4 linked regions of the Arabidopsis thaliana genome follow. The protein of the gene in region 4 interacts with the protein of the main gene of each other region in a pairwise test. Each region holds a gene or a part of one and is shown on either strand. Other genes may lie near its edges. The genes, in order: AT4G37445, AT3G10290, AT1G62660 and AT3G24570.

Evidence for each region.
Region 1: the proteins of AT3G24570 (region 4) and AT4G37445 interact in a protein complementation assay, tested with the Arabidopsis thaliana proteins (one large-scale study listed by BioGRID).
Region 2: the proteins of AT3G24570 (region 4) and AT3G10290 interact in a protein complementation assay, tested with the Arabidopsis thaliana proteins (one large-scale study listed by BioGRID).
Region 3: the proteins of AT3G24570 (region 4) and AT1G62660 interact in a protein complementation assay, tested with the Arabidopsis thaliana proteins (one large-scale study listed by BioGRID).

The regions. Positions count from the first base shown.
Region 1 is NC_003075.7:17,601,946-17,608,611, forward strand, and holds AT4G37445 (calcium ion-binding protein), read right to left. Parts: upstream 3,000-6,666; 5' UTR 2,974-2,999; coding exon 2,943-2,973; intron 2,853-2,942; exon of another isoform or gene 2,834-2,852; coding exon 2,719-2,833; intron 2,626-2,718; coding exon 2,565-2,625; intron 2,478-2,564; coding exon 2,199-2,477; 3' UTR 2,149-2,198; downstream 1-2,148. Other genes in the region: AT4G37440 (uncharacterized protein), read left to right, coding at 1-84, 601-917, 1,023-1,076, 1,167-1,645, 1,719-1,901; AGP18 (arabinogalactan protein 18), read right to left, coding at 3,981-4,067, 4,247-4,996.
Region 2 is NC_003074.8:3,181,716-3,189,692, forward strand, and holds AT3G10290 (Nucleotide-sugar transporter family protein), read right to left. Parts: upstream 3,713-7,977; 5' UTR 3,610-3,712; coding exon 3,022-3,609; intron 2,532-3,021; coding exon 2,428-2,531; intron 2,257-2,427; coding exon 2,028-2,256; intron 1,943-2,027; coding exon 1,796-1,942; 3' UTR 1,688-1,795; downstream 1-1,687. Other genes in the region: AT3G10300 (Calcium-binding EF-hand family protein), read left to right, coding at 4,721-5,381, 5,685-5,731, 5,844-6,019, 6,111-6,360.
Region 3 is NC_003070.9:23,196,867-23,206,803, reverse strand, and holds AT1G62660 (Glycosyl hydrolases family 32 protein), read right to left. Parts: upstream 7,193-9,937; 5' UTR 6,856-7,192; coding exon 6,498-6,855; exon of another isoform or gene 6,226-6,497; coding exon of another isoform or gene 6,162-6,225; coding exon 6,153-6,161; exon of another isoform or gene 5,373-6,152; coding exon 5,128-5,372; intron 4,890-5,127; coding exon 4,272-4,889; intron 4,177-4,271; coding exon 3,767-4,176; intron 3,682-3,766; coding exon 3,594-3,681; intron 3,508-3,593; coding exon 3,289-3,507; 3' UTR 2,996-3,288; downstream 1-2,995. Other genes in the region: RPF2 (rna processing factor 2), read left to right, coding at 139-2,031.
Region 4 is NC_003074.8:8,964,083-8,972,235, reverse strand, and holds AT3G24570 (Peroxisomal membrane 22 kDa (Mpv17/PMP22) family protein), read left to right. Parts: upstream 1-3,559; 5' UTR 3,560-3,612; coding exon of another isoform or gene 3,613-3,705; coding exon 3,706-3,858; coding exon of another isoform or gene 3,859-3,975; exon of another isoform or gene 3,976-4,720; intron 4,721-4,857; coding exon 4,858-4,997; intron 4,998-5,146; coding exon 5,147-5,561; 3' UTR 5,562-5,715; downstream 5,716-8,153. Other genes in the region: AT3G24600 (late embryogenesis abundant protein, group 2), read left to right, coding at 1-41; PLSP1 (plastidic type i signal peptidase 1), read right to left, coding at 216-327, 427-494, 569-655, 733-870, 1,072-1,599; AT3G24580 (F-box and associated interaction domains-containing protein), read right to left, coding at 1,938-3,074; AT3G24575 (uncharacterized protein), read right to left, coding at 3,613-3,975; RSY3 (Adenine nucleotide alpha hydrolases-like superfamily protein), read right to left, coding at 5,742-5,834, 5,920-6,630, 6,705-6,785, 6,870-6,959, 7,056-7,165, 7,243-7,345, 7,424-7,600, 7,681-7,841 and 1 more.

The sequences.
Region 1 (6,666 bases), on a different chromosome or scaffold from region 4:
TGGTGGAACGGATTCTGAACATGAGAATGATCAAGAAGTTGACTCCATGATTTGTAATGAGACTTCACTTCCTCTTTGGGTGAGGTAAGCTCTTTCCTCACGCTTCTTATTTAGTCTTTTATCTTAATGGTTTCCATGAAGGTTTGTTGTGTGTTTAACCAATAGCAGAATGAGAAAAAAATGTCCTCTTGCTTAATTTGGTTTTGTAGAGATTTTGATGGTTTTGGTAGCTTGTGTACTTTTACTTTTTAATTGAACACTATCAGTTCCATCTCTATGTTGCTGGATTCTTAAAAGACTGAAATTTAGGAGTTACTTGGGTTCCTGTACTAATGAGAAAAACGTCTGTAGCTTAATTTGGTGTTGTAGATTTTCATGGATTTGGTAGCCTTGTTTACTGTTACTTATTATTGAACACTATCAGTTCCATCTATGTGTTGTTTGATTGATTCTGAAAGGACTTAAATTTGTGTGTTACTTTACTACGACTTAGCTAGCTGCGTCTTTGATTTATCTCCTTTTAAGGAAGTCAGGAGAAGAATTGCTCTATATCGTGAATGGTATGCGGTAATTATTATGGTTTGTTCCTTTTTATGGCAGAAAAAGGAAGCTGACTGATCATTGGAGGAGGTTTGTACAGCCTACTTTAATGTGGCGTTGCAAATGGATTGAACTCAAATACAAAGAACTTCAGAACCAAGCACAGAAGTACGACAAAGAAGTTGAAGAATATTACCAAGCCAAGAAGTTGGAGTTAGAAAATGTCAAATCAGAAGAACTTGGAGTAAAGGCTTTACCTCCTCTTCCATGTTATACTCAGAAAACCCGACTCATGAAGAGGAAAACGAGAAAGCGAGTTGAAGAGACCGCTGATGTTACATCCTATGCATCAAACCATAATCTCTTCTCTTATTATGGTATGGAACTAGTTTGGTGTTCTTGTCTTTCTGGTCGTGATTAATGTTCATCTACCATTACTTGTCTAATAATTTCTTATCTTATTGTTTCTGATCTTTGTATAGATTGTCGGAAATCTTTGGCCGATATTGCTCTTAATGACAACTCCCGCAACCTAGGTATGGTGTTCTAAAATCTCAACTATGATATGATATTACTCCTTTTGAAAACTTTGATCTTATAAAATATTTTCTGTCTTGGGTCATCAGATAAGAAGAATAAGAGCGCCAAGGATGAGACAGCTTTCTCTGAAGAGACACCGCCTCTCGAGTTTAGAGAAGGCGATGCGTACTTGGAACAGATACTTTTGAAAATTGAAGCAGCAAAGTCAGAAGCCCGTAACTTGAAGATCCGCGTAGACAAGGTTTTGAGTGAAAATCCAAGTATATTCCCTCTGGCTAACACAGTGAATCCACTTGGAGCTGCTGATGTATACACCAGCTCAGAACAACAAAAGCCCCTGCTGGCTATCAAAAACGAAGATGAGAAATCGATCATCTCTGAAGAAAAACCGGTGAAATCTGCTTCAGTTTCATCTCATCACGTCTCACCTGAAGACGACGAGACAACAGATATTTTACTGTCTGAGATTCTAGCATCAAAGCGAAGGGAAGGGAAATCTATTATTCCCGATAAGAATCTAGTGAAGACAGAACAAGCTTCAATTGAGGAAGGTCCATCAAGACCTGTAAGTTTTCCGCTAACTCAGTGTAACTTTGCTAAACCCTTTTGGTCTCATATGCCATTCTAACACAACGCAGGTAAGGAAAAGAACACCGCGCAATCGTGAAATCATTACGAAGGAAGAGAGTAACCCAAAGAGGCGTCGGGTTTCAAGAGAGAAGCCAAAGTCTAATGCTGTGATGGCTTCTAGGTTTTCCAACAGGAAGAGAAAGCGAGGAAAACGAAGGTCAGGCTCTGCCGGGTTACGAAGAAGATCCTGAAGAAGGTTTGGAAACTTTCAAGTAACTAATCGGATCTTGTGTTAAAAAGTAAAAATTGTTCATTCTAAGATATTCTTAACTCTTAAGCCTTTAAAGTACAAAGAAATATTTATAGTGGCTGTGTTTTGATTCTTCATGTCAACAATATATTCAAACTACATCAACTTTTGAACTTTACTTCTATAATTTAGAGTGTATATATTTTTCTCTATTTTGTATTATCAATCAATCATGTTTTATATCTTGTCGGTGCTAAGTTTTTTTTGTTTGGAAAAGAAAGAAAGCTTAGTTAAAACACTATTTCAAATACATTCGTCTAGAGAGTTTGGCAGAGACAATGGCTAAAATGGTGACCGTAGGGACGAATATAACATCAGGTATAAGTTTGATTAATTTTAACTGAGGAACATTCTCTCCTGCTCTCTTAGCCGCCATTGCCGCCGGTGGAGATACTATTCCGGTGATCATAGTGACATCATCGAGTTTACTTGGCTTCACGCTCTTTGACATGAACTCAATGAACAATTTTTTCTTCTCTTCTTCGTCTTTCGCTTCCTTCCACCGCGCGAAACAAACCTGTTTAGATCATTCAACATTGTGTTAAAAATATAGAGAAATTATTATAAGATTCTTTGTGTGATTTTGATAGAGGAGAGGACTCACCTTTATTTGGTCCGGGGTTGGGAAATCGAAGTGCCTGCCTGGTAAAGCCGAGTTGAAGTTGCTGCACTCAATAGATAAAATTCCTTTTAAAAAAAAAAATGTTGGCCAACATAACCATTGTTTTCGAATGATCAAATAATGAAACAATCCTTACTTAAAGATGTCTAAAACAGCAACGTGGAAATCGTCGAAGTTGTTGATAGCTTTTTGGGTAAATTGTTTGTAGAGTGAACCCATTACCATATTCATCATCTGCGTCGGTGGTACCCCTAGGCCAAATATCGAAATCTATTTAGAAAGATATATAGGACGAAAATTTGTCAAAACGGTTATATAACGATTTGAGTCGATAATTGTTAGGTTAAAAAATTGCAAAACCTTTTCCGAGAAAGCCCATTGAACTACCCATATTGTCTAGAAGTTAGTCTTTAGGAAGAAGAAAATGTTATGTTTATATACAAATTTGTATTGGTGTGTGGAATCAGAGACTTGGCTTGGTGGGTTTGTGTCTTTGCAAAGCCAAGAATCTTGAATCTCTACACAAGACCTTGGTTCAAGTATAACTTGTGCTTTACTTACAAAATCTTAGCCATTTCTTCACAGTTGAGTAATGTACTTTTAATAAAAGCATGGGGAATATGACTTGTCCTCTATTCTCACTTTCTTTTTGCCTACCATATTAGATATCCATTAATTTTTTTCTTTTTCAAATCTAGTTCTCTAAGGAACAAGACAAAAATATGAATCTAGCTATTTGAAAGGTACAATAAAAAGCATTGTATTATATGATTGGTTGGATCTATACATGTTTAGTAATAAATTTTAGACAATTCATTTATAGCAACTTGGCCACTTGAGTTGGGTATCAGATATGAATTCAATAAATATTTACCAACTTCACATTATAAAAGACTAAGATCCAACTAAGTAGCTGACACTTTCATTCTCGCATAATTATACTCCAATTGTAAATATTTGTTTAAAGAAACACATGTAATTGGTTTCAAACGTAAATATCAACATTTGATTTACTAACACTTTAAACATTTAAAAGACTAAAACAAATTATGTAACTGCTTTGCTTATTGTTACATAGACGTTACTTACACAAACATTTTATTTTAGAGTAAATGTCCATAATTCTGCATTAAAATTGAATGTGTCATTTTCAATAAAGAACTCGGACCCATCACTAAAGGACTTTTGTCTGCAAAAGAAAAGAACAATCAATGTGTAAAACAGTATTTTCATCACTGACAGATATGAATTCTTATTATTTCCATATAAATAAAATAAAAGAAAACAAACTGTATAATCAATTAAATAATACTCATTACCAAATTCGTAAAGAAAGAGACAATGGTAGGGTCAAAAATATAAAAACTAAAAAATATCAGAGGTGAAATGATAAATAATTTAGAATGCCATAACGAGAACGGCCCATGCGGTTGCAACCGCTCCCACCGCTACATTCCTCAACACCCTTGTGCTCGCTGCTCCGCTCTGCATTCAATTCCATATTTTCATTTTAGTTAATCGAATATGTAATTACTAAATCAATATAACAAAAATTGAAAATCTATGTTCACTGTTTTGAAATGTCTCATTGGTTATTTTTAACATTGATACTCGAACTTGTGACGGTAGATAAATATCAACATTGTTGATATAAGCTAATGTACCTGATCGTCGGCGGAAGGACCGGGAGAAAAAGCGTCGGAGTTAGGTCCGGGAGATTCAGTCGGTGGTGCAGGTGGACCGAGAAGTTCCGGAGCCGGAGCAGGTGCAGCTTGATGCTTTTTCGATTTCTTTGTAGTCTTCTTATGCTTGCTTGGAGCAGGAGCCGGTACATCAGCAACCGGAGCGGCTACCGGAGCTGGAGGAGAATCAGCTACTGGTGCTGGAACCGGTGGAGAGCTCACTGGAGAAGAAACCATTGGTGCAGGAACCGGAGGAGAGCTCTCTGGAACAGGTGTCGGTGGTGGAGACGACTCGCTAACAGGAGCCGGAGATTTTGGTGACTCAACCGGTGAAGAAGCCGAAGCAGTTGGAGTTTTCGCCGGAGCCGTAGTGGGAGAAGTAACGGCGGGGGATTTAGTAGGGGAAGTAGTTGGAGCAGAAGGAGTGGTGGGAGATTTGGTCGGAGAAGAGATAGGAGATTGGCCACCGACACCGGCGACGACAATGCAGATCAATGTAACTGTTAGGAGGAAATTGCGATCCATAATTTTGTTAAAATTTGGATCAAACAAAAAAAAAAAAAAGAGTTTGAACTTTGAAGTGATGGTTAAAGTACTGATGGAGTTTAACCAAGCGTGTTGTTTGTTTGATGTAAGAGAAGTGAGTTTTATATAGGCGATGAGGAGAGATCTGGATCGTTGGATTAAAAAAGGATCACAGACAGATGTAGCCGTTGAGAAACAGAACATCATATCCTGTATCTATTAATGTAGGATTCAATACTTTTTTCATTTTTATTTTACAGAATAGCTCTTTTACTTTTTTCTTGTGCGTTTTTATAAGGATTTTTTTTTCTTGGCATTTTTCTCCTGTTATATTCTGCAATAAATTTATTCGCCAATGGTGGGTAGATTAGCATGTGTTTTGTTGAACATATGATCAGATATAGAAAATCAATTAATAGTAATTGTTTTTACGTTAGACATTAAATTGGTTATACTATAAATCACTAGTCTTGTGTCAACATAATAATTGGATTTGAAATTGATACCAATGTCGCTCACAAATTTTATCATTGTTTAATAATTATGATATTTTATATTATAGATTATATCACACGGTCGAGAAATTTCCAACTACTAAATTGTCGGGAAATTATTAGTTAAAAAAATAGCACAATATAAGGTACATAGTATAATTGAGATAAATTTTTGGGGTACGACACATGGAGTCTTGGATTAGTATTATTATGTGATCATCACGGGTGAAATTATTATGACTTGATGCATCATGCGTCTATAAATAAATAACCTTAATAATGAAAAATGATTAAACTCAAGTTCAATATAATGCAATCAAAATAAGACAAGGAGAATGAGGAAAAGAAAACGTAAACAAAAAAAAAGAGAGTCTTTGATCGGAAGTTAGAGGGAGAGGACAGCTGGTTGATTGATTTTGCCACTTTGGATTGGTGCCCACACGGATTTGTTGGCACTTTCTTCTATTTTGGCTCGTTTTAATCTATAATTTGTTGCCACCGTCACCGTAATTGCCTGAATACTCTTTGGCCTTTTTTCATTCGAGTCGAAATGGAATCAAAACCGTTGCCAATGAAGAAACGTATTGCTTAGGAGCTACGATTTTGATTTCTTTTTGTTGCTTCTCACTTTGTTCCAATCCTTCTTTCAATGACTTTATGTAGAATATTGAAAAGTATTCATAAGCGTTTCCTTATATTTATTATTTTGTGTTTTGCCAGACTAGGAGAAAACACGTTTCGGTCTTAAGCCATTCTTAATACTTTTTTTTTTTTGAGTTTTTGAATATAAAGACAATGAGTAAGTGGAAATTCTGAGAGCGGCGCGTCGGTGGAGAGAAAGCCCAAGCTAATGGTCGTTCGTTGACTTTGTTAAAGACTTTGACGAATGAGACAGTGAGTGTTATAACGATAATAAATGAAACTCGAATCTTGTAATCATTTTTTACTATGAAGCAATTATTTTGAGATTGATTTCAGAAACATGCAACGGTTATATGATCATGGTATCAATGCTGTCAATCAGAGCAGACAGAAGATTGTATTAAAAAAAGAGGTGTCAGAATAAACTTAAAACAACATAAGATCGGCCAAGGGTTGTAAACTCTCATGTTGGAACCTCTCATGTTGAGACCAGAGAAATCATATTTAGATACATTATTAAATCTGTAAAATTATATTAAACACGAGAGTTAATAAAGTTAAAACCCTAACAAAGCTTTTCTAGCTTTTTTTTTGTTTTTTAGATCAGAAACAGACGGAAGATGTTTGACTGAAACACAAGTTTTCTTACTGCTCATGGTTTAGTTAGCCTTCTTCACCTCTTATGAAAGATTGTGAGAGAGACACAGAGAGACAGAGAGAGAAGGAGAGACAGAGAGAGAG
Region 2 (7,977 bases), 5.8 Mb from region 4:
TGCTTGTTTTTGCCAACAATTTGGTATCTATTTCTTTTATATGAATATGGAAATCGAGGAATTTTTATTTATTGACAAACAAGTCGATTTTTTTTTGTTGATATGGTCATTTACATTTAGTAAGACAGATAATGTTGTTGTATTCACTGAGGAATGCAATGGTCTCGGACTATCACAAAACTCATTTTATTTAAAAGCCGGATGAATTTAATGGGCCTAATATAAAAAGCCCAATAATCCATTGATTAAAATATATGTGGACTGGTTTCACCATTACCGCAATAAGGGAGACTGAGATAAACTCGCACAGCAATCGGAGTTACTATGTGGACAATGAAACCGGCGGCGATGCCGGTTCAATTTCTCATGGAGCAATCTCCGTTGGCTATTCACAGCCACCACCACCGCATAAAGTTATGATCGAGAATTCTTCTGAAAATTTCTGAGCACAATTTCTTATTTTGTGAATTGATTTGTGGCAAGTTAAAAAAGCTTCGAACATAGCGTAATAATTTGGCTCTCTTATGAATTGCGTTTGGTTTGGACTATATGTTATCTGTGTGGAATCGAATCAAAATTATCAATCTGGTTCGTCGGAGTTGGATCAATAGTGGAAGTGACAATTGCTAGTTTGTCGTTTGTGTTTTAATTTCGGTTCGGTTTACATGGTTTTGAAAAATTCAATTGATTTCGGTTGGGTTTGAATTGGAATTAAAGGAGAAAGACACTGAAATCACGCACTCGAGGCTTTTTTTTAAAGGAGCGAGTGTGTTTCAAAACAAGCCATTTGGTGGGTTAGAACCCACAGAAAACGTATACACGCGCTCATCACGCGATTGGTGAGAGTGGGTGTGAAATTGCCCGAGAGGTGAGAGTGGGGTATGACATGAAACGCTCTGATTGGCTTATAAAATAAAAATAGTAGACATGTAGCTCCTCCCTTCCTATGTTTATATTTATTTACTTCTCTTTTCCGAAGTATCAAAACTGTTGTCAAACAAAAAGCTTGGAACAAAATTAAAACCAATGCAATTCATATAGAAGAGCTTAAGCGTTTTCTTTGTTGATGATAATCTCTAAGATGTCTGGTGGTAAAAAGTCATATATTCAGAGGGAGTGTATCACTTGCCTTGATTATCATCATTCTTTTGGTGATTTTACTCCTGGTTTCTGAGGAAAACTCGCTTCATGATTCTCTTTTTGATGTATAACGTCAGTTTTCATCTTCTTCAGGTATTTATATGCTCTCCACAGCTTTTAGTATTCATTTTTTTTTGGCTATGTCTTCTACTATTTAGTAAGTTTATGATCCAAAGTTTTTGAATCTCAAGATATTATAGTCTGGTTTTGTGATGCATTTTGGTTTCCTATTCAGTTTGTAACTCTGCAAAGGGAAAATGGGTTGAAGACCGGAAGAGACCATTGTATTCTGGTTTTGAATGTAAACAATGGTCATCTTCCATGTGGAATGGGCAGACCCGATTTCTCATTTGATGCCAGAAGGTTGCAACATGCCACAGTTTGACAGATTCAGTTTCTTTATACGTATACATGAATTGTTGTGTTGCGTTCATCTAAACCTGCGTATTGGTAGAATCGAACTAAAAAAATGAATTTAACTGGATCATTTTATGGTTCTGAGTGAGTGAATACAAAGTGTCTGGCAAGTTTGCAACACAACAACTCCAGAACAAAAAGAACATAAGTCATAGAATCGACCTACATATATAAGTAAGTATAAGTCTATAGGTTAAGATACAAAAATGAGTTAAGTGAAAATATCAGTCTTTGAGCTTCATCTAAACCTGCGTTTAGTCTCTCCATAAGCAACCACCCCGAGAACGGTTATACTGTACCCGCCAATTCCCATCACCGTTACCGGGTTTCGGAAAAGCAGGATCGATATCACAACTGCAACCGCTCCTTTAGCATTTCCAAGGACCTGAAACATTAAACATACACATGTTTGATCCAATTAGGCACTCCTCTAGTTTTGTTTAAGTTCAAAATCTTTTCAGTATTTTTACCTGCAGGGTAAGTGCGCTTGTGTGCTTGGTAACCAGAAAGTTTAACAAGTTGGCTGAATAAGCCATTACAGAGTTAACCAGCAGAAGTATATACATGTACTTATGTTGTCTTCCGAGTGTTAGTGTCACACTCATCACGTCCGGCTCCATAAAAATTGTGACAGGCAGAAGAGCAATGACGGCTATTGGAGACATGTACAGCATCAAATTCATCGAATTCAACCTTTCTCTGCAAGAAAACTTAACGATCTGTTAAACCCTAAGATGAGCATTAGTAGCTTCAGCTTCCTACTTTGCTTATCCAACTGTAGTTGCAGAACCTTTTACATTATTATAGCATATAATAAGGTTTTCTGATTCATTGAGTAACCAAATGCAAAAGAAAAGTTAACGGATTTACCCCTCGGAAGAAAGTAAGATGCCTTGAAGAACAGATTTAAAAGCTCTTGCTGCAGTAGCACTAATGCACATAATGAATCCAAACCAGTGAAAACCTGGTTCACCCTGTAACCACAAAGGCAGACCCAGAGCAGGATCATTCAATACAGAAATCCCATAATCAACAAACAAAACATTCAATAGCTAAGGCCTAGCAAAGAGATCAAATAATTCACAGAACAATGTAGAATGTAAGAATGGCAATAGTTACAAGAAGAAAGTCTGAAGCTTTAGATAACACATGACTGGAATAACGCATTAAAGGATGAAGCTTTAGATAAGTAGATAATACAGCCACAGAGGACTCAAATTTGTACTTGACAGGGAAAATTGAATTTGTATACTGAATGTAATCACATTCATGAAACTAAGCAAACCTATTTTGGGTTTCAGACACATACGTGGAACACAAACAATCATCTTGAATGGCTCTAAACTAACAACAAATCAGACATCACAATCTACAGGTAAAAGAACACATATTTCAAAATCGGCAGAATCAAAATCAACAACCAAAGACGTTTTCATTACGAGAATTGTAGAGAAAAAGACGTACCCCACTGGCGATAACGACACCGGTAACAACGGGGACGAGAGCGCCATAAGTGACCCAAGCTTCTCTCTTAAAGGTCATGATATAAGCGAAGAGTGCAGTGAAAAACGGCGTCGTAGCACCAACGGCTTGATTAAAGGAGACAGGGAGATAACGAAGGGAGATGTTTCCACCGACGACAGAGGCACAAAAGACAATGCTGAGAGTCGCAACCTTGAGAAACTGAGAACGAGATTTGAGGTATTGGAGAGGGACGAGCTTGAGGAAGACGATGGAGACGTAGCTGAGGATAGCGCAAGCGGACATGTGACACATTGTGAGGAAAATAGGGAATTTGAATCCGTAATTGGAGAGGAGGAACTTGTTGAGGAGAAGAACACCGATGTTGGAGGTGTACCAGAGAATGATTAAGGATGATATGAAGAGGGTTTGTTTCTTCGGAGAAGATGAAGAAGACGACATGTCGGATTTCTGATCTGGGTTCTTCTTGTTCATCTTCGTCGTCGATGAGATCGAGAGATTTGGTTGTTTTTTTTGGTGGGAGAAAGACAGGAGAGGAATTAGCTCCTTACCTCGAGCATGGGACGACATTCTTGAAGCGCTCAGATGGATTACAAAAAAACGAAGGTTTTAATTTTTTTAAAGATATATAAATATATGTTGAACTGACAAATTATTTGTTTGGGATAATTAATGTATTATTAAGTTGAAATCTATATATTAATTAATGTGCAGTTGACTAATTAATGTATTTTTAAATTGGAAAGTATATTTGAGAAAAGTTGAATTGACTAATCTTATTTAGGAGTTTTGAAATTATTATGTATAAAACTGTTGTATTTGTGTTACATTGATTATTATGATAATCAAAGAGGAAAATAAAATTTAATAAACAAAATCTTTTTCCCCCAGATTAGGTAAAAAATTCGGCTCTTTACCAAAAAATGGTCCAAAAGTCTAGATTTATTCTTTATTAGTAGGACTAGGCCAATGTCTCAGAACTTCTTTATATTATACTTTATATCTAAAACTTGTGATTCGTAAAATCATGAAAACTTGTTAGATTTTGTCTGTACATTTTGGTTTATTAACAAAAATGTATAATACTAAAAACAACTTACGTATTCTATTGGGAGTCTCTTTTTGCCTTGTTGGTTTATTTATTTTGGACTTGTTGTTGGTTCATGTTTGGTTTATATAAGATTTTGAGATTGTTAGTGGCTATTTGATGGCATGTATCACGAAATTAGAAGTTTTAACGTTTCTCTTAGTTTTCACTTTTCATGATATAAAGAAAAATGTGTGCGAGATATGAATTATTTGGATAATTAACTAATATACTGGGCCTCCTACCAAAAGAAAAAAACTAATATACTGGGCCTCAAGGCTCTCAATACATTCTTGTTTTTTCGTCTGCCATTTCATTTCATTAATGGGCCTCAGCCGTTTCGTTCATTTTAATTGACGCGTCAGTCGTCACGCGTCAGCCGCGTATATCATCTTAAAATTACGATTTCACCCCTCAACGCGTACAGAGCTAATTCGTTCTTAACTAATGGCTTCATCGTAATAATCCAAACCCCAAAATATCTGACTTAGCTAATTTCCTTCTTCATTATATCATAATTCCAAATTTCGCAAACTAATTTTTTCACTTTCTTCTTCGTTGATCTCTCTGAAAGCTTCTCTTCTTCTTCTCACCATGTCTGGTTATCCTCCATCAAGCCAAGGTTACGGTTACGGCGGTAATCCACCACCTCCTCAGCCACCGTACGGATCAACCGGCAATAACCCTCCTCCGTACGGATCATCCGGCAGCAATCCTCCTCCTCCGTACGGATCATCAGCCTCCTCACCGTACGCAGTTCCCTACGGAGCTCAGCCCGCTCCTTACGGTGCACCACCGTCAGCACCGTACGCGTCTCTTCCAGGAGACCATAATAAGCCGCACAAAGAGAAACCTCACGGCGCCTCCTACGGATCTCCATCTCCCGGTGGCTACGGTGCTCATCCATCGTCTGGACCTTCCGACTACGGTGGTTACGGAGGAGCGCCGCAGCAGTCTGGACATGGAGGAGGTTACGGAGGAGCGCCGCAGCAGTCTGGACATGGAGGAGGTTACGGAGCTCCTCCTCCGCAAGCTTCTTATGGAAGTCCGTTTGCGTCTCTGGTTCCGTCGGCGTTTCCTCCCGGAACAGATCCGAACATTGTGGCTTGTTTCCAAGCTGCGGATCGGGACAATAGTGGATTCATCGATGATAAGGAGCTTCAAGGAGCTCTATCTTCGTATAATCAGAGCTTCAGCATAAGAACTGTTCATCTCCTTATGTATCTATTCACCAACAGCAATGTCAGGAAGATTGGTCAGTTTCTTCTTTCTTTCAAACTGATCTCAAATTGATTGTTCTAGGTCTTTCCTTTTTTGCGCTTTCTAGAACTAGAAGATTGTCTTGCTTCAACAATCTAGGTTTGAGTTTTTGGAATTATCTTGTTGAATTTTCCTCTGCATATTGTTTGGTTTGACTTTGATGATCGTTGGTGCCAAATCCTCAAGTTGTATTATTATTAATTCAAGTTGAAAGTATTAAAAAAAGTCAAATTTTTAATTATTCTCCCTGCTAGCCTGGTTTTTGAGTATATACTGATTTAAGAACTCCAAATTGCAGGACCAAAAGAGTTTACTTCACTTTTCTTTAGTCTTCAGAATTGGAGGGTAAGTTCAAAGGTTTTTCTAATGGTTTGATGATAATTGTTGGTCAAGAATGTTGGGAGTTGTTAGCTCATGTGGGTTTTGTTTGGTGTTGCTTCTTTGGAATTGGTTTCAGTCTATCTTTGAGAGGTTTGATAAGGACAGAAGCGGTAGAATAGATACAAACGAGCTGAGAGATGCACTCATGAGCCTTGGGTTTTCTGTTTCTCCTGTGATTTTGGATCTGCTGGTTTCAAAGTTTGACAAAAGCGGAGGCAGGAACAGGGCTATCGAATATGACAATTTCATCGAGTATGTTCATTCGTTTCAACCCCCTTACCTTTTCTTACTCTGTAACAAGTATAATTCATCACTGATTCTGGTTTATTTTCCATTGATGTAGGTGTTGTTTGACTGTAAAGGTATGCTATTTTCATGGCTTGGGTCGTCACATTCTCATGCAATTCTACCATTTGAATTATTCAAGATTGTTCCTTTACAATGTGTCTAATGTATGTTATGTTTTGATAAAAAATAATCGCAGGGGCTCACCGAGAAGTTCAAGGAGAAGGATACGGCGTTATCAGGCTCAGCTATTTTCAATTACGAGAACTTCATGCTCACTGTTTTACCATTCCTCGTCGCTTGAGTGATTGTTTTTTTTTTTTTTTGTTGACCAAAGAGATTGTTTTCTAACTCTATTTTCTTTGTGAGCTTTTGGATATTTTATTTGTTGTCTTTTTATCTTTCTCCGGTAAGATTCAGACGTGGGTCTTCTTTTCATATGAGCAAAACCTTAGTAACCAATCTTGTGGAATAAGTTTGAATGGACTAAGAGCCCAATATTTCCAATTACAGTAACGACAGCATTTGTGTTTCAAAAAGTGAAACTCGATTTTCTTAAGTTTCGAGGCCAAGTAATCCAAATGGGTATGAAGAAGCCAAAATCAAATCTATTACGTACGCAATGGTTTAGGACGAAGATTGTTGCTAGAAAATGTATTTTAATATTAACAGTAGTCGTTCATTGCATGAGTAAATGATTAAATAATTAAAATTTATATTTATTAAAATATAATATTTAGCACAGATGATCTAGTGTATCTTAATAGTTGGTGAAAATGCAAATTTTCATGGTTCGCATTATTTATAAATTTTTTGACTCAATTAAAGAAAAATGAGTAATTTCTTTCATCACTCATCCATATTTTCTTGTTATTCTACTACAATTAGTTTGAAATTCATATTAACATTAACATTTAACATAAATGTTGTTTTTAGATACAATTAAAGTGATAATGTAATAGATTTTCCCGTTATTAAAGCATAGAACTCTTACGATCTGACTTTTAATTATTTTTTATAAAAAATATCGCACATGTAGGGTCGCGTGCAATTGACGCGATACGTTAAATAAATTTGAACCGTTGATTTAGGTAAAGAATTTTTTAATCCAACGGCTGAGCAAGACTAATTTGAATATGCAACTCTAGATCTCTTTGGACAAAGTTTTTCAATGTCTCAAAACTCAAAACATTCTATGAGTCATAAACTAAAACCATCTTTTAAAACTTACTCATAGATATTTTAAACTTAAATTTATTTTTTTAAGTATTTTTTAGATAGCAAAGAAAATATAAATAATCTGGTGAATTTAGAAAAAAATATCATGGGAAAGGTAAATGTGGCATGAAAAATTCAATTCTAAAAACATATGGAAGACATTTTGATCACTAATCATCACTTTTTAGTGGAGCTATTTTTTCACAATAATTTATATATGAGCGACACAAAATGCATTAATTTAGTACTATTCGTTATTGAAGTCTATAATAAAAAATGGTCTTTTTGTATTGGTTAGAAGAAGTTTTCTTTGTCTCATCATCAGTTATATCAATAAATGTTAGTATCACTACTTTTACAAATATGAAAAAATATTATTTATTCTGTTTTAACAAAAAAAATTTTATTTATCTTGTTTTAAGAATTTCAGTAGAAAAAGAAGAAGACAATCCCATATAGCTAAAAAAAATCAAAAGAAAAAAACCGTTACATTTTTGGAAAAATATCTTTAATGACGTTTAATAGGAATAAATCCTCTACAATTCTCTACAAAATACAAATGATTGGTGAATGGTGAACCCCTTATAAACCATTTAACAAAAACAAAAACCTTAAAAACCCTTTAATACTTTCTATCTCTTTCTAAATTTTTTAACAAATGTAAAGAAATCTAGGATGCGGTATAAACTATGAAAATCGTGATGATT
Region 3 (9,937 bases), on a different chromosome or scaffold from region 4:
TAAACCGGTTTCAACATTCACTCTCTCTCTCTCTGCCTTATTACTCTCACAGTCTCTCACAGTGGTGGTTCGTTTAGGGTTTGGTTGAATTTTACAGAGCTTCCGAATCAGAGAGCTTGAGAAGAAATCAAATCGAGAATGAGGATATCGTTTGCGATTGCATCAACTGCGAAGAGATTTGTTCATCGGAGTCTTGTGGTGAGAGGTAATGCTGCAACTGTTTCTCCCTCTTTTTCCTTTTTCTGGAGACGAGCTTTCTCTGGTAAGACTAGTTATGATTACAGAGAGAAACTGAGTAGAAATGGGCTGAGTGAATTAAAGTTAGATGACGCTGTTGCTCTGTTCGGTGAAATGGTCAAGTCTCGTCCCTTCCCTTCCATCATTGAGTTCAGCAAACTGTTGAGTGCAATTGCTAAGATGAACAAGTTCGATGTTGTCATCTCTCTCGGCGAGCAGATGCAAAACTTGGGAATTCCTCATAATCACTATACTTACAGTATTTTGATTAACTGTTTTTGTCGACGCTCTCAACTCCCTCTTGCTTTAGCTGTTCTTGGCAAGATGATGAAACTTGGCTATGAGCCCAATATTGTCACGCTTTCTTCGCTGCTCAATGGGTATTGCCACAGTAAGAGGATATCCGAGGCTGTAGCTTTGGTTGATCAGATGTTCGTAACGGGGTATCAACCCAATACCGTCACATTTAACACTCTAATCCATGGACTTTTTCTTCACAACAAAGCTTCAGAAGCAATGGCTTTAATTGATCGAATGGTTGCAAAAGGTTGTCAACCAGATCTGGTTACTTATGGAGTGGTAGTAAATGGATTATGTAAGAGAGGTGATACTGATTTGGCTTTTAATCTGCTCAACAAGATGGAACAAGGGAAATTAGAACCTGGTGTTTTGATCTACAACACAATCATTGATGGTCTTTGCAAATACAAACATATGGATGATGCGCTCAACCTATTTAAAGAAATGGAAACAAAAGGCATTAGACCAAATGTTGTTACCTACAGCTCCCTCATAAGTTGCCTTTGTAATTACGGAAGATGGAGTGATGCCTCTCGCCTCCTTAGTGATATGATTGAGAGGAAAATCAACCCTGATGTATTCACTTTCAGCGCATTGATCGATGCGTTTGTGAAGGAGGGCAAGCTTGTAGAGGCTGAGAAATTGTACGACGAGATGGTCAAAAGGTCCATAGATCCTAGTATTGTCACATACAGTTCATTGATCAACGGGTTTTGTATGCACGATCGTCTAGACGAGGCCAAGCAGATGTTTGAGTTCATGGTTAGCAAGCATTGTTTTCCAGATGTAGTGACTTATAATACGCTTATAAAGGGATTTTGCAAGTATAAAAGGGTAGAAGAGGGTATGGAAGTCTTCCGTGAGATGTCTCAAAGAGGATTGGTTGGCAACACTGTCACTTACAACATTCTTATCCAAGGGTTATTTCAAGCTGGAGATTGTGATATGGCTCAAGAAATATTCAAAGAGATGGTATCTGATGGCGTGCCTCCCAATATTATGACATACAACACTTTGTTAGATGGACTTTGTAAAAATGGGAAGCTAGAGAAAGCAATGGTTGTATTCGAGTATCTGCAAAGGAGTAAAATGGAACCTACTATTTACACATATAATATTATGATTGAAGGGATGTGCAAGGCAGGGAAGGTGGAAGATGGGTGGGATCTATTTTGTAATCTCAGCCTTAAAGGAGTGAAGCCGGATGTTGTAGCGTACAATACAATGATATCAGGATTTTGTAGGAAAGGTTCAAAGGAGGAAGCAGATGCCTTATTTAAAGAAATGAAAGAAGATGGGACTCTTCCAAACAGCGGTTGCTATAATACGCTGATTAGGGCACGCCTTAGAGATGGTGACAGAGAAGCATCAGCTGAACTCATCAAAGAAATGAGGAGTTGCGGGTTTGCTGGAGATGCTTCAACCATTGGCTTGGTCACTAATATGTTACATGATGGGAGATTGGACAAAAGCTTCCTCGATATGCTTTCTTAAAACAGTTTCATCATCCTTGAGTCGAGAGAATAGTCGAGCAAACCATATCCCCTTGAAAGCAGCATCTGCGAGGTGAATTAACCTTTTTACGTTGCTTATTTCTTAACGGATGTTCTCATGTTACAGGCAGATAAATATGTGTATATTTTGGTTACGGTTTTGTGTAAGCTTCTTGAACATGACTGATACTAATCTTTGTTATTTATCTGTTACTACTGTTAGGCTGCAAACAAGGGTTGATAAGGAGCACTCTTCAAGCAGATTTCAGATTTCGAATTGAGATTTTTCGGGCTCGAGGGTGACTTTGCTTTTGTTTCTCCCCTTCCTTCTTTTTCACAAAGCTCAATGATTTTTGTTTGGTGATTGTCTTGTGAACTGCTAAGCTTTTTAACTCATATTGAGTCATGGTTACAACTGTTTTAGTGGTCTTGTAGGAGATAAAATAAAAAGCTCACAAATTACAATTTGATATCTCGAAAAAATTGTGGAATTCTGTATAAAAAGCTCATTACCAGAACCCGCATTAACAAAGGTAAATTTCTGCCTATCTCCTTTATTTCGAGGTAATGAAGGCAGCTAAAACTTCCCATTTTATTGGATACAACCGTCTATAAGAAAGTTATAGTCTCCATATCACATTCTTTGCTCATATGATCATTCAGAACACTTGATATATGATTTCACATGAGACGAAAAATGACATTACAGTGATGTTCGCAAGATGCAAATCATTATTACAGTTGAGAACAGCTCTTTTGTTATTTCTATTGTTTGGTTGTGGATTCCATTTAACACGAAATTGCCAAGAAAAGTGGAGTTCTTGGCCATTTTACAACTTGCTCTTGGACATTCAAAAATTGGTCAAGGAAATTGAAGTCTGTACCAGCATTAGAACTCGCACGGCTTTGTGTACGAAGGTAAGTTAGAGACAGAATTTGACCTCTCTAGAAAAAATGAAGAATGTTTTACATATTCAAACTTTCTTCTTAACGTCATGTCATGCAAACGGATGATTCAACATCATGCATCACGCAATTGATCGGTGAAAGTGTGGAAAAGGTTACAAAGATAATCGGTGACGTTGTTCTTTCATATTTATTGATGTTGTACGAAGAAAATAATTTACTCTTTCAAAAAAGGAGAAAATAAATGTTATTTTCTTCTCTTCACTCACATGATGAATCAAACACAGATAAAATCAAACCCATATTATTTAACAACAATCAAAAGACTAACAAGAAAGGATGAGAAAACTCATCAGGTGCTGGAAGGAACACCGAGATCGTCTGAAGAGTAAGGATGAATAAAAGCATTGTTCATTTGCCAGACCGTAAACGACGCCGTAACGGTCGCATCAATGGCGTTATTGAACAAGAAGAGCTTGGTAGCTCCATAGATAGCTTTTGTGGGATATACTCTTGAGGTAATACATGATCTTCCACCTTGTGCGAATCCTTCTACGATCGAATGATCAACCTAATAATAAACATTTAAATTAATAACAACGGAAAGATATTAAATTATTTTACGAAAACTAATGAATAAGGTTATTAATGTAATACCAAGATTCTCATTGTCAATTTCTCTCCTTTTAAGACCGGTACGAAGCTTCCATAGATTGGTTTCACCACATCGTTTGCCAAAGTCGACCTATAAAAAATGATTTTGATTAATTAATAATTACTTGATTTGTATAATAGAAGAATCTATTAATATATGGGTATAGATTGATAACCTTGAGGTGTCAGTGCAGAAGACAGTATTGAGTTTTGAATGTTTTCCCTTAGTCACATAGAAGTAAACCGGAGTTTGTTCTGACAAGCCCTCGTCAGCGAGAACCGAGAATCCAAAAGGCCCTAAAGCACCACGCGCTGTGGAGCCTCCGTTTGTTTCGCAGCTGAATTTATTGTCGGCCTCCACAGAGTCATCATCAAAGAATAACTTGAGATCATCGGTCTTGATCTCGAACTCAGCCTCTATGTCTAGCTGAGTGGCGGAACCCACATCGACCGGAACCACAGTCCCTGGTCCAATAGTCATGTCAAATTTCTTGCTGCTTAGTCTCAATGATTTGATTTCCTCAACTGGCCACTGGACTAAGTTTTTATGCGTCCTTGTGTCCAATACAACAGTTCTTGGGATGCCCTGATCATGGTTACAAAAAAAAGTTAAGCCCTAACTCGGGTAACAAGTAACTCAAAGACCTAACGTTCATAGCACGCTACGTGAAGAAAAGGTACCTGAACAGAAGACCAACCCTTTTGTACATCAGCAGCTTCACTGTCAGATTCACCGATCCAACCCCATAAGATTCTTCGTCCCTTATTTTGATCGTAAAACGTCTTTGACGCATAATATTTCCCGTAATCGTATCTCAAACCGGTACTGATTCCGACATCGATAGAAGGATTATCGGGGACCCATGTAGCGTTTGAATCATCGTACGTCCCAATGGCATAATGGTCAATTCTAGTATCGTCCATGCTAGCCTTGATGACATGCTTGACATCTGGTCCGTTGACCGAAGTATCGAGCCCATTGAGCTGAGTCTTCGACACCGGGTAAAAATCAACGCACTCCCACATTCCGGTGTTGGGGACTTGGTGCAACAAGGTTTCGTGTTTCTCGTAGGTTTTGAAATCGGTAGTGTCATAAATGAGAGATATTCCGGTTCTATTGATTTTGGAACCGATGGTGATTCGCCATTTTCCAGAAGATGTCTTCCAGGCTGTTGTTGGGTCACGGAAGTCCTTTGCACCAATACCTGGAGGCGGTACGAGGACAGGGTTACCGGAGAACTTGACCCATTTCAACAAAAGTGGGTCGCTTGGGTCTTCAGGATAGGCAAGGTTTTGAACCTAAAATAATCAAAATGATATCAGCCATTGATTTGTCAGACCAACCTTAGATTGAAAAGATTTGTAACCAATTATGATGTTTTTTAGTGTGCTAGATACGAATTCGGCAACAATACAATACTTATTATATAGTTACTTATTACTGTAAATCCATCAAAAGCACTTTCAAAAACTGATGGAAAATTCAATATTAAAAATTAGTTAACAAAACGAACAAAGATTTTAAGAAACTCAGTACCTGTACGAATTCGTCAGTGGAACCGGTGTAGAGCATGACAATGGAGCCATCATCTAGAAAAGTGGCTGAACCGGTCCAGACACCGTTTGCATCGTACCATTGGTCAGGAACCATGGCTATTGGGAGATAAAGCCAGTGGATAAGGTCTTTTGACACGGCGTGACCCCAAACAATGTCACCCCACACAGCTGCATTTGGGTTGTATTGATAGAAGAAATGGTACCATCCCTTATAGAACAATGGACCTGGACACGTTTAACATTTCATTTGTTCGGATTAACATTTCACTGGTAAAATAATCACAAATTGAGTATTAGCATTCAAAAAGTATAATTATGACTTCAAATTTACTAATATAAATTCGAAATGATAGCATAATATATTCATCCTCTGTTCTGAAATGCTGAGATAGTGGTTTAAAAACAATAAAAAACAATAGAAGAAACACGTTTACTTAATAAAACACCACAATAAAGTACGACGTTTCATAACTTCAATAAGCTGTTATTACTGTATATTTGTGACTTTTAAGGAAGAAAATAAATAAAATATGACGTTTCAGTTACAATTGGGTTAATAGAATGAGTCAAATGGGGACTGTCCAAACACAATAATAGGTGAGCAATGATTTGTACAATATGCACATGACTCACGTGGTGTATATACAAAACAGGCAAAAACAAAGTAAACTGATTGGCTTTAATGACTCTTTCTGTTCAGATTTTGTCTGTTTACTTTACATTATAAACAAAAAAACTTTTTACGTGTAAATTAATAAATGTTTTTGCCAATATTTCTTTTTCAATTTTATCCAATGACATTAATTGTAGTCCGCAAAGGACGTGCCTTGTTGTCATATATCTATCTACCAATACTATTTTACGGGTTTGAAATATATCTATCAATTGTGTAGCCAATCAAAATTTTTATAATCCATATTTTATTTTATATAAAATAAATAATGGTCAAAGGAAATCTTTAGAAGCACAAAAATAGAAGACTTCAGTGTAGGATCTAGAGCTTACCATTAGGATCTGCAGACGAAGAAGCCAGAAATTTGCCATTCACGACGCCATTCGATAGACAACAAAACAACATCAACAAATTAATTACAAATGATACAGTAATATACAATAACAAAATTATTGAAATTCACTCTTGCGTGTTTACTTAAATCTTGTTCCTCAAGTTATGGTCTCATAAATGGTTACGAAATTCAAATCTATAGAAAAAGGAAAAATGAACATTCTTTGTAAAGATGAAACACTTTTGTTTAGCTATTTTAACAATATAAAAATCAATAATGATTAATTAATCAATTATTCATACCTAATAAAATAATCTTTTAGAAGAACATTTTATGTTCGTACCGTTCATCCAATTTTTCTCAGGCTGGAAATGAAACGCCGTGCGTTGCCACGACAAAATAGTATTGTTCCACGGGAACGCTTCAACTTTCCCATCATCGGATGATATCCAAACCCCGTCGTTGCTCTTCTCCGACACGCCGGCCATACGAGGACGTGACTCCGTCGCTATTTCAGCCTTGGAGCCGTCGTGTGTGACGATGAGAGTGACGTACAAAGCGATCAAGAGCAAACCGGAATAGACTGCAAGATGAACTTTGATGGGTCGTCTCCGACGGGTCTCCGGGATCTGGTCGGATCTTGACTCAGATAATGGATCTTGTAGGGACGTGACGGGTAAGAGAGCTTCCGTGCTCGCCATTTTCTTGTTCGTTTTGCTTTATTGAGATTTGATGGTTGTAATAGAAAATGGCAAGTCCAATATTTATATATCAAAAAATCAACCAAAATCTCAAAATAAATATATTAATGAATAATTATATGAGAAGTTGAGAACTAGAGAGATCTGGATTGGGTTGGCAAATTAGAGCTGTGATTTTTGTATTATTACCAGTAAGGTTCACGTAATCACGTTTGCAGACGACAAGTCAATACTTTTATAAAAATAATTATTGTTTGTAATATGAAGTGGAGTTTTGGTTACTATATCTTTCCTTGTTGCATACATTAGCATATATTTGGATTTTCATAGAAATACATTTCCCCCTACTACTAAATTGCCTAAAATTGTTGAAAATTAAAGAAAGAAAAACATCTTAAAATGTTATCTTTGATCTCTCTTTTTTTTTTATCCCATCCATTCCACAATTTTTTGTTTTTTTATAGAAATGTCCACTAATTATATTGGTCTAACATTCTGCATACAAACAAATATATATATATATATATATATATATATCTTTCTAAATAATAATATTCCACTCCATTTTTCTATTTCATATTTTAAGAGTAAATTATAATCATATCTAGAATTTTCATAGAAACGTAAAAGCATATATTTCCTAACTAAAAAAATTATATATCCTATGTTGTTTATGTGCAACAAGAATAAATTTGAAAACTATTAAAATTGAACAGAAAGTATATATTTATTTATCAGTAAATGGTAAGATTAATACTATTGTAGCTCACTTTTCTCAAAAGTGTTGAAGTTCCAGCTTTTCAGCTTTTAATCTTCTCCTATCCAAAGTCAAATGTTAAATATTTTAATTTAAAGAATAATTTTCCATATCAAAAAAGAGATTTAACTCGAAACACAATTAAACTAACCTTCTGTACTATATATAAATTGCATTTTTGTTTTTCTGCTAGTTTTTCCTCTACAACTCTACATTCTAAAAACATTTCCTAAAATATCACTTAAAATGATACGGAGGAAGTACTGTCAAATAATAATAAAAGAAAAATCTTATTACTTGAATCACAGTTAAGACTGTTTTAAATATTAGTTTGCGTGAAAGTGGAGGAGGGGGAAATTTAATCACAGTTAATAACTATGGCTCCACATTTTTAAAATAATATTGATTGCCCACATTTTACAATCCACGTTTTAATCAGTATCTATAAATGGGCCATAGTTCTTAAACTGAGAAGCAGTCTTTTTCAATTAAACATAAAAGTAAAATTTTTGTTGAACTTTGCACCTCCAATTTATTAGGCATCATAACTATCTCACCTAAAAATTGATTGGTAAATCATCTTAGCTGAAAAATAAAGGCTGAAAATAATTATGTTAAGATTGGGTATAATTTTTTTTTGTTTTACTCTAATTATTTGAATACAGATACACAGTGAAAATTGGCGAAAAGCTATGTTTCTCTCTTTTCTTTAAAGTTTTATTTCCTCTTATAAACTGATATAAATGTCTGATTTCATTGGTATAAATAATAAATATAGAGTAAAAGTAACTCTTTTAAATGGAGTAAACAAAAAAGAAAAGTATTTTCATCCTATTGTATTGGTGAAAACATCTCTTTCTTTTTACAGTTATATGAAGAGTAGAGCTAGCATAGTTATTTTCTCTTGTCTTTTTACTTGATTGGTATGTTTTGAGCTGACGTTAAGAGTCATTTTCTTCAGCTAAAATGTGCACCAATCAGATCCTAAAAACGACTTATATCAACTAAACATTTTGTTAAACATAAGGCTTATATATTATTTTTTTCTCTTTTTGTAAGCTTAATTTTGTTTGGGTTTGATCATCATTTCAAACTTTTATAGGACTTGATCATATCACAATTTTTTTAACTGTTTAACATGATGATTTACATATAACGAGAATCAATTCCGGCAGGTAAGTGATTATCTTGGATTAAACATATAATAATGAGATAATAGATCTTAATATCCAGAAGGAAAAAATAGAAGAAGAGAAACTTAGCCATCTCACCAATAGATTTACATATACTTTAAAAGTTTTTCAAAAAAAAAAAAAATATATATTTAATATAATTTAGTTTCTGTCCAATTATAAACACATACCTATACATATAGTTTTTCCATCATTACTCCAAAGTTTCTCTGCAGAGAAACTATTTTTTATTTTTGTCATTCTCTCTACTTATTTATTAATTGTTTATATTATTTTTAGTAAGAGAGTTTCTCAAAATTGTAACTGATGCAATTAAATACTCCCTCTGTTCCTTTTTGTTTGATTGTTTAGAAAAAAAAATTGTTTCTAAAAGATTAATTTTTTAAGTTTTCTATGTAATATTTATTGGTTAGTATTGGTGAATTGTAATTTTCAAGAAAAATAGTTAACTATCATTGGTTTAGAGTTATAGAAAACTGTAAAACACTAAAAATAATACATTTATAATCAACATTTAATATATTTTCTTAATATGTGTGTTTTTTCTAAACAATCAAACAAAAAGGAACAGAGAGAGTATAAGCTACCCACTTGAAATAAGATATAACCCAACGTATATATATGGAGAAAAAACAATTCATAATAGGTGATACAAATAAATGTATTTATATAAAACAAGTCTGAAGATAGTTTTTTACTAATAACACTTGTGTGTTTGGCCAGGCCACATGATTTCTTTTAAATAGCATATAAAATCTTATCACGATCGCGTCAGACCTGTATCCAACAATTGAACTTCGATTACGACAAAAATAAAATTGAACTTCGATTGTTTTGTTTTAAAAATTTATAAATTGATTAACCACGTGAAAGATCTGCAATCGGCATTTTGTTTAATCTTTAATAAGCAACCAAATTTTTTTAGAAACTCATTCAGCTAAGCAGAAAATTAATTAAGTAGATTTATAAGTTTATTGTTCGTGTTTGTCTCAAACCAAATTCACTTCTAAAATAAATAAAAAATTACTGATTTCTTTCACTTGTAACTTTTGTTACCGCAGCATGTCTTCAGTTCATTCTTCATATATTCTTTGTTAGATTTTTAGTTTTTTGTTTTGGTGGATTGTATATG
Region 4 (8,153 bases):
TAGAATTCACTCACAAGACCTGTAAACTCGTTACCAAGTAAACAAATTTTCATCATATCTCCATTTTGCAAATAAGAATTTCTTGTTTCCTCATTAATCTGCAATCTAATTCAAATGTGCAACTCTCTCCTTCATAAAAAGGTACATTGTTTTCGTTTTTATCTGCACAAGTGTTTCAAATGAAGACATGCCGAATCAAAACGTTACAATATGTTCTATTGCTTATCCACAGCACAGCCACCTTCTAGCACTGTCCCGCTTACTCTGTTTGGTGGCCAATACCGAAAAACCGACCGTCCAATAATATTCTTCAAAGGCAGAGGACCCCTGAAGACAACACAAGTTTTCCACAATAAGGAACAATCCAAGAAGAAGCTAAATCCTGTGATAAAATTCTAAAACCAGATGAACAAATAGGCTTCTCACCATACGTGCGAATCATAACTGTTATTCCGGTTATCACCCATCACAAAGACTGAATTTTCCGGTACCCTCTACAATGTTGAAGCAACCAAAATCAGAAAAAGAAGAAAAACCACAAGCTTCAGGTTCTTTTGATAATACTTACAATTGGTGTCATTTCATAACCAGGAGGCTCTAAGATGAATTTTTCATTCCTAGCAACACCATTAACCATCAGTTTCCCATTATGTACCTACACATTACCCCAAATCAAAATAACCATCAGCTTCACTATTACAAGCCAAGAGCCAAAAATATGATCATACATACCTCCACAAGGTCACCTTCTTTGGCAACAATCCGTTTAATAAATACATCGGCATCAGTATACCCAACTTCCTGAAGAACTGGTGGACTTTTAAAGATGACAATATCATTTGCACAAGGCTTCCTGAAATAATAACTCACCTGAAACATCAACACCACATCTTAGTAACAAACACCAAAAACCAATCAATGAGAATCTCTTGAGCTCATACTAAAAAACTATCTTTAACTCTAAAGATGTAACCTTTGACATTGTAATCTGATAAAACTAAACCATAGCTTCCCAATTCCTAAACTAAAGCTCATGATTACAAAGCTAAACTAATATAAAGAAAACAATACCTTCTCTGCAACTAATCTGTCTCCAACATCAAAAGTAGGATACATAGACAAAGAAGGAATATATCTTGGTTCTGCGATAAAATAACGAAACGCCAACGATACAGCTATAGCCACAAACACAGTCTGTGCATCATCCGAGGTAAAATCCAACCATTCCGGAAAAAGTCTGTTTTTTTCCTCCACTTCACCTTTATCATCATCACCACCATCTCCGCCGCCACCGTCGCCGGAGTCTAATGACGGCGCAGACTTCGTTGTCTCACTTGAATCCTTAATCCCATAGCAACTCAGAGTTCGCCGGTTTAAATTTGTTCCGGTGTTGAAATTGAGACGTTGGGGGAAAAGAAGTTGGGATTTTGGGGTGAATTGGATAAAATTAGGATTAGGGTTCTTGAGAAATCTGGAATTGGAATCAGATTTGAGAAAAGCTAGCGGCGGAGTAGAGAAGTGAAGAGATATCATCACCATCATCAACTGAAACAATGGCTTTCTCGGAAAAATATAATTGTTTGTAATTTTATTTACCATATCAAAAAAAAAGATCGAAATGTCCAAAACACCCTTTAAGAAAATTGGAAACTACAGATACAAGCATTTGTGCAATGTGAATTATCCAAAAAACATTGTTTGGTTACATTAGTTCACATTTGGCATTTGATATGTTGTGAGAAGTCGGTAGTTGCGTTCTCTGTTAAAAAGGAACACAATGGCTTGGACACTTTTATACAGATACTGACATGATCAGAGCAATAAGAGAATCCTAGTTGTGGAGAGTTAATAATCTTGTTCAATCAACATGATAAAAGAGAAAAAACAAGGGTATAAATATGCAAGAAACAGATTACAGGTTTTGTAGAATATACTAATCAAAAATGCACTAAACTTGGAACATAAGAGCACACAAGTGGGTAAACAAATTTGTCTACAGACATTCCAAGGTCCACTTGTTCCCAGGTTCCATCCACTCCAACGATGTAAGCTTTGTTGCGAGAGGACGCTAAATAACGTTTTTCTTTATCAAAAACAACAACAACTCTCTTCTCCTCGTCGATAAAGAAACTCGAAGCTCTAACTTGAAACTGAAACTTAAGTGAGTGCATATCCACAGCTAAGAACACCTTGCTGTTCCACAACACCGCATTGGGCTCAATTTTGGTTGTTACCCAGATCTGCATCTCCAATGTACTTGAGCACTGAAATAAAACAGCAAGCTGCTCTTCTCTAACACTAGATAGACTCACGGTATCTAAAACACACGGCTGACTCGGCAGAGGTAAACGCGACCTAAATCTCTCTCTTGTGAAATCAAAACAGACTAAGAAAGTATGGCCGTATCCGTGCCTCTCTCTAGCAATCCAGTATGTATTTCCCTTGAGAGACACGCCACGAATATAAGAATCTATCTTCCAGTCTGGAGACACATCAAGAACCTTCCATGAATCAGAGTTGATATTGTAGATTTTGAACTCAGAACAAGTGGGAGAAAAATCAATAAATCTCAAGATTTTGTAGCTGCGGCTTGATTTGCTGCTCTTCTTGTATCCGAGAGCATACGTATACATGTCCAATTTGTGGAAATTATTTGTAGACTCGATCCACCGTGTTTGCCCCCAATACGGGTTCCAAAGAACGACCTTAGCGTTATCTTCGTTATCTTCCGTGATGCATAGCAATAAACCGTCGCAGTGAAAGACTTGAGATACATCGACTTCATCGCCCAAGCTAATAAGCTCACCTTCAGGCTTAATACACGACTCAATGTCATTGTGAACGTTGACTCGAATCAAATAAACCCTAAAATCCATCATCAGGACCATCATAAACTCTTTTTCCTTCGCTGCTACTATTGCTTGATAACCAAGGTGATTCTTTGCAAAGCTCTCACCTTTAGATAAAGTATTCCAATCTTTACAAGTAAGTCGGACGTTTCTCAGAGATGTTAACGAAACCCTAGAGAGCACCTCTTCCGCCAAATCATTAGGGAGATTAGACATCTTCGTCATTGTTTAAGTCTCAACGATGATCGTTGTAACGTAGTAAGTCTCAACGATGATCGATGTACCTTCAAAAACGATTTCTATATGCTTCTGTGATTATCGGTTTTCTTTAACCTTGATGTAACATCAGATAACCCTAAACGAAAAGATTCGATGACGACAAAACAAAATATTTAAAAAAGAGAAAGAAAAAAAACTATTAACCTTTTCCTTTGTGATTACAGATTTCTTCCGCCGCAAGATAGAGTGTATAGGGAAATTTTGGGGGTTTAAAATCCTAAAAAATAGAGAGGTTAAAATGAGAGGTTTCTCATTTGACCCAATTTTCTTCATCGTCAACACAAAAAACAAATTAAATTAGAATGTTAAATGTTAATGGGCCGGAAAGAAAATGTTGATTGGTAAAAGCCCAATGATATTGCAACAGCCTTTTTGTAGTGTTGACTGTTGACTCGAAAAAAAGAAGTGATTAAAAAATTAAAAAGAGAAGAAGACGTTTAAGAAGAAAGCTTAAGCACTGTATCAACCTCTTTCTTCTAACCAATCACAATCGCCTTCTTCCACGGCGGCTCTCCGTCACAGGTGACAGGTCCCAATCTCTCTCTCTCGCGGCGACGGCGAATACGGCTGGTACATAATGTTGAAGCTTTGGAGATGGTACCAGCGATGCCTGACGGTTCATCCTGTGAAAACTCAGGTCATCAGTTCTGGATTTCTTTGGGGATTTGGCGATGTCACCGCTCAATACATCACTCATTCCACTGCGAAACGTCGTCTTCTTCGTCTCACCGTTAGTCATTTTCCGATCTCCTTCTCTCTCTCTCACCTTCGATTGAAGTTTCAAATTGGAGTTTCTCTCCGATTCGTGCGGATTGATGAAATTAGTTTTAGGTTTTTGAATTTGCATCTATGTATCTCTGGGTTTCGTGATATATCTGCGTCAATTGGTTCTTGTGCATCAGTATATTCGCGACATTTCAGTGAATGTGGTAATGCTTCATCAATGTGTTGATTTATGTAGTTCTTCCTTAGACCTTGATGCTGTTTCTGGAGTTTTTCTTTGATACTTGGAATATTTTCCCGTTGTTCTCACCTTCTTGCTGCTAAATCTTTCAAGGATTTGAGTTCGTCTTCTCCGTTTACAGTTTTCTGTGATTTCTTGTTAGCTTATGGTCTCTATTAGATAGATACTGGAACTTTAGGTTGTGTTGCCTAAGTTGTAATTGAGCAATAGCACTCGGATTCTTTTCTAGGCTCTCTCTATGGCTGTGTGAAATTTCTTGTAGTATAACGTCCATTTACTTGTTTGCTGAGATTCCATGATTTCCTAATGGCTATTTTTTCCAACAATCGAAGACATTTTAATGCTTAAGCCAGAACTGTGGGCTACTACAGCTTCAGAGTTCTTTTCAAAGTTTGAACAGTTCAGAAGAGAGCTTATATGGTATGGTGATACCAATACGTAAAAGATACTAATGGAGACAATGTGTTTTGTGACTCTCTATGTTGTTGGTGTGGTATTTTCATGTTAACATTGCAATATAAATCGCCCTTTGGTCCATTGGTGATACATGTTCATGCCGTTATGGATTAGCAGCTCTAGTCTACTGCTTACCTTTTATGAAATTATGCGATACTTCTTTACTTATAACATCTTCTGCTGTGAGACAATCCTTAAAATTCATTTGCCTTTAGAGGTCATGGTATATTGTTTCTGAGTTTAGGCTATATATTGAGATTTTATTGACTTACCTTGGCTCAAGCACTAAAACCATGTTCAATATAACAGGAAACAAATAAAGATGCTGACGCAGATGCAGAAATTAAGGTCAAGTGGAAGCAAGATGCAGAATTCAAAGTCAACTGGAAGCGAGTAGCTATCACGAGCATGTTTGGATTTGGTTTTGTCGGACCTGTTGGCCACTTCTGGTTTGTTTCCTTCTGATCTCAGATCATTTCGTTATAGCTTTTCCTCGTGTTACCGCTCACATAAACTAGTGACACTGAATCAGATACTGATAAAGAATTGTCTATGGTAGATTGATAAACCTGATATTGTTCTATTTGCGGTTGCACAGGTACGAAGGCTTGGATAAATTCATAAAACTGAAGCTTCGATATGTACCAAAGTCAACACGTTTTGTAGCTGCAAAAGTTGCAATGGATGGTCTTATCTTTGGACCTGTAGATCTACTGGTGTTCTTCACATACATGGGATTCGCCACAGGAAAGAACACAGCTGAAGTGAAAGAAGGACTCAAGAGAGATTTTCTTCCGGCTCTAGCTCTTGAAGGCGGAGCATGGCCACTTCTTCAGATTGCAAACTTCAGATATGTTCCCGTGCAATACCAGTTGCTTTACGTCAACATCTTTTGCCTAGTAGACAGTGCCTTCCTCTCATGGGTCGAGCAACAGAAGGACGCAGCTTGGAAGCAATGGTTTACTTCATCATTTCAACCATTAAAAGAACGAGGTGGCCAAGGCGGAGTATGATCGTTTTCCCTGTCATAAACTTTGAATGAAAACAAAAACGAGTGTAATTGGCGATTTTCAATAACGGAAGTTGCCTAGGATACAGATTCTTGAATCAAATATTATTTCGTTTCACGAGAATTCAGTACAAGTGAATAAATGTCTGTTAGTATTGAATGAATGCAACATGATATGGCTAGACTAGAGAAATGAGCTATGACCGCCTCCGAGTGGTATTCTTGGAAGAAACACTGCAGATGCCTCAAGGCATGAACAATAACTGAAGCCAATAGCCTGAAAACACAGAGACGAGAATCAATGTATGGTCTTATAGTTAAATCCGACAAAACAAATGATTTAAAATGGTGATTTCACATACTGGTATGCAGAGTAGTAATCCACAGTGATTGACCAAGACAGGAAGGCTTTTTCTTGCAGCGGCTGGGATCAACTTTAAGGACCTGAGAGCTTTTTGTGAGGATGAAATAGAATGATTTGAGGTTGAGCATTTTGAAAGCTCAGCTAGATATAACCAGTCGGGTTCAACCATGTGCCGAACCTCCATTGATGTAGCAGTACTCACTGGACAATTTCTGCAGTCTGCTTCATTACATTGGTGGTCACTTAGGTTCCATCTGATGAGAAAACGGTTCATGAAGTAGAGATTTTGCCCTAGACAAAGATGTACTTTATCAGAGGAAGCTGCAATGTTGGTTCCATGCTCTAATTCCACTGATTTCTCTTCTGTTTTAGTTAAAAACCGTTTAGTTTCATCCCTCTGCAGTAGACCAATGGTTGTATACGTCGATTCGCTGAGAAGATTGAGCTCTCTGGCTTTACTCAATACGGATTCAGATGCAACATCCAGAAACTGGACTTCAAACAAGCTGGTTGGAGCCACATGGTCAGAAAACGATTTTGCGTCTGCTATGATTTGTCCAAGGTCATCAGATGGAGTTTCATTGAAGGAAATGTTCAAGAGTTCTGTCTTTGATGGTAAAGGACAGTCAACAGAACATGAGACTATAATTTTGGTACCCTTCGACCCTGGAGCAGGACTAAGGTAGCAACCAGCAGCTGTTAGAGATGTCTGAGTAGCCAAATGAAGCAAATGTTAGTACAGATCAAAATCTAGAGAAACAGAACAACTTTGAAAATGATTACCCTGCACGGAATTGCGCGGATATAGTTCAAAAGCAACTTTGAAGTGTTTCCTCTGATTGGTCTTTGCCGTTGAGAGATAAACTGCAGATTCGAGAGCAAAGAATAGTCAAGAAAACACTCAAAGGGCAGTAACTTTACCAAAGAAAAAAACTCAAGATGTAACACCTGCAGGACCGCAAAGAGATACTTTGAGAGGCAAATGTCTTTAACTCCTGAAGGATTAAGTCTCTCTAGATCAAGAATAGCATACCCTTTCTGCTAATTCCAACATCAAAACAGAGATGAATTTTCACACTTACCCGATCCAGAAACAGTTTATACATATGTGCTTAAACTGGAAAATGCTCTTACATCTGTCACTGTTACGGTCTGATGTATTAAGTCTGTACAAACTTTATCAACAAATGAACGTGTTCTCCTGCATTCAGAAATGACTGCTTGCAGCTCTGACTTGAAGCTACCTGAAAAGGAAAACAATAACTTATATTAGTCATCAAGATTTAGAGAACAAGTTTGGTTTGATGTTTGATAGACTTGCCTGATTCTAGATTTCCTATTGATGTTCGAATCCTATTCCGAACAAACAACTGACTACGATTAGTTGGATCTTCAACCCAATCTTGTCTACCCCATTGACATATCTGCTAGGAAATAAGATAAGAGTTGATGTCAACAAACCATAAAACGATAAATTCTTGAGTTTCTAGTTTTAAGAGAACCTTGTACATGTCTTCTTTCCATAAATCTAGTAGCGGACGCACTAAGCGAATAGATTGGTTCTTCATATGTTTTGCATCTAACTGCAGATTTCTGGAGAAAATCTCGGAAGCAAAAGCTGTACCCGCAAGACCAAGTACACCGCTACTACGAGATAACCTGAGAATGAATAACTCAGCCTGCATCCAACTTCAGACAACATTTCATGAACATCTCAACATAACACTTTACTTCTCTAAATTCTCAAAGACCCTTTTACCTGGTCATCTGCATGATGCGCTATAAGCAAGACCTCAATCTGTTGTCGAAAACACACATTCGAAATCATCTCATACCTCATTTCACGAGCTGCTTCTTGCAAGTGGCCAAGCTTTGGTCTACCATCAACCCAATCACAACTTGCAATCTCACATCTGATTCCTATAAACGTTCCTCAAGTTACTAAAACATACTCAAAAAGGTTACATCAAATGTTCTTACTCTAAAAACTAACCCATTTGAGAAACTCTAGAACAGACAAGTTCAGCTTCATCTTTACTCTCTTGTCTTAATCCATGATCAACAACTATAGCAACAAGTCCATCAATAAAACCATCTGTCTTATTAACACAACTTAATCCTTCAGTTTTCCATTTTGCAGTTAGAACACAAAGAGCCATACTATCAGGACCACCTGAAACTCCCAAAGCTGAAACACACAACACAATTTTATCCAATCACTGTTTCTGGTTT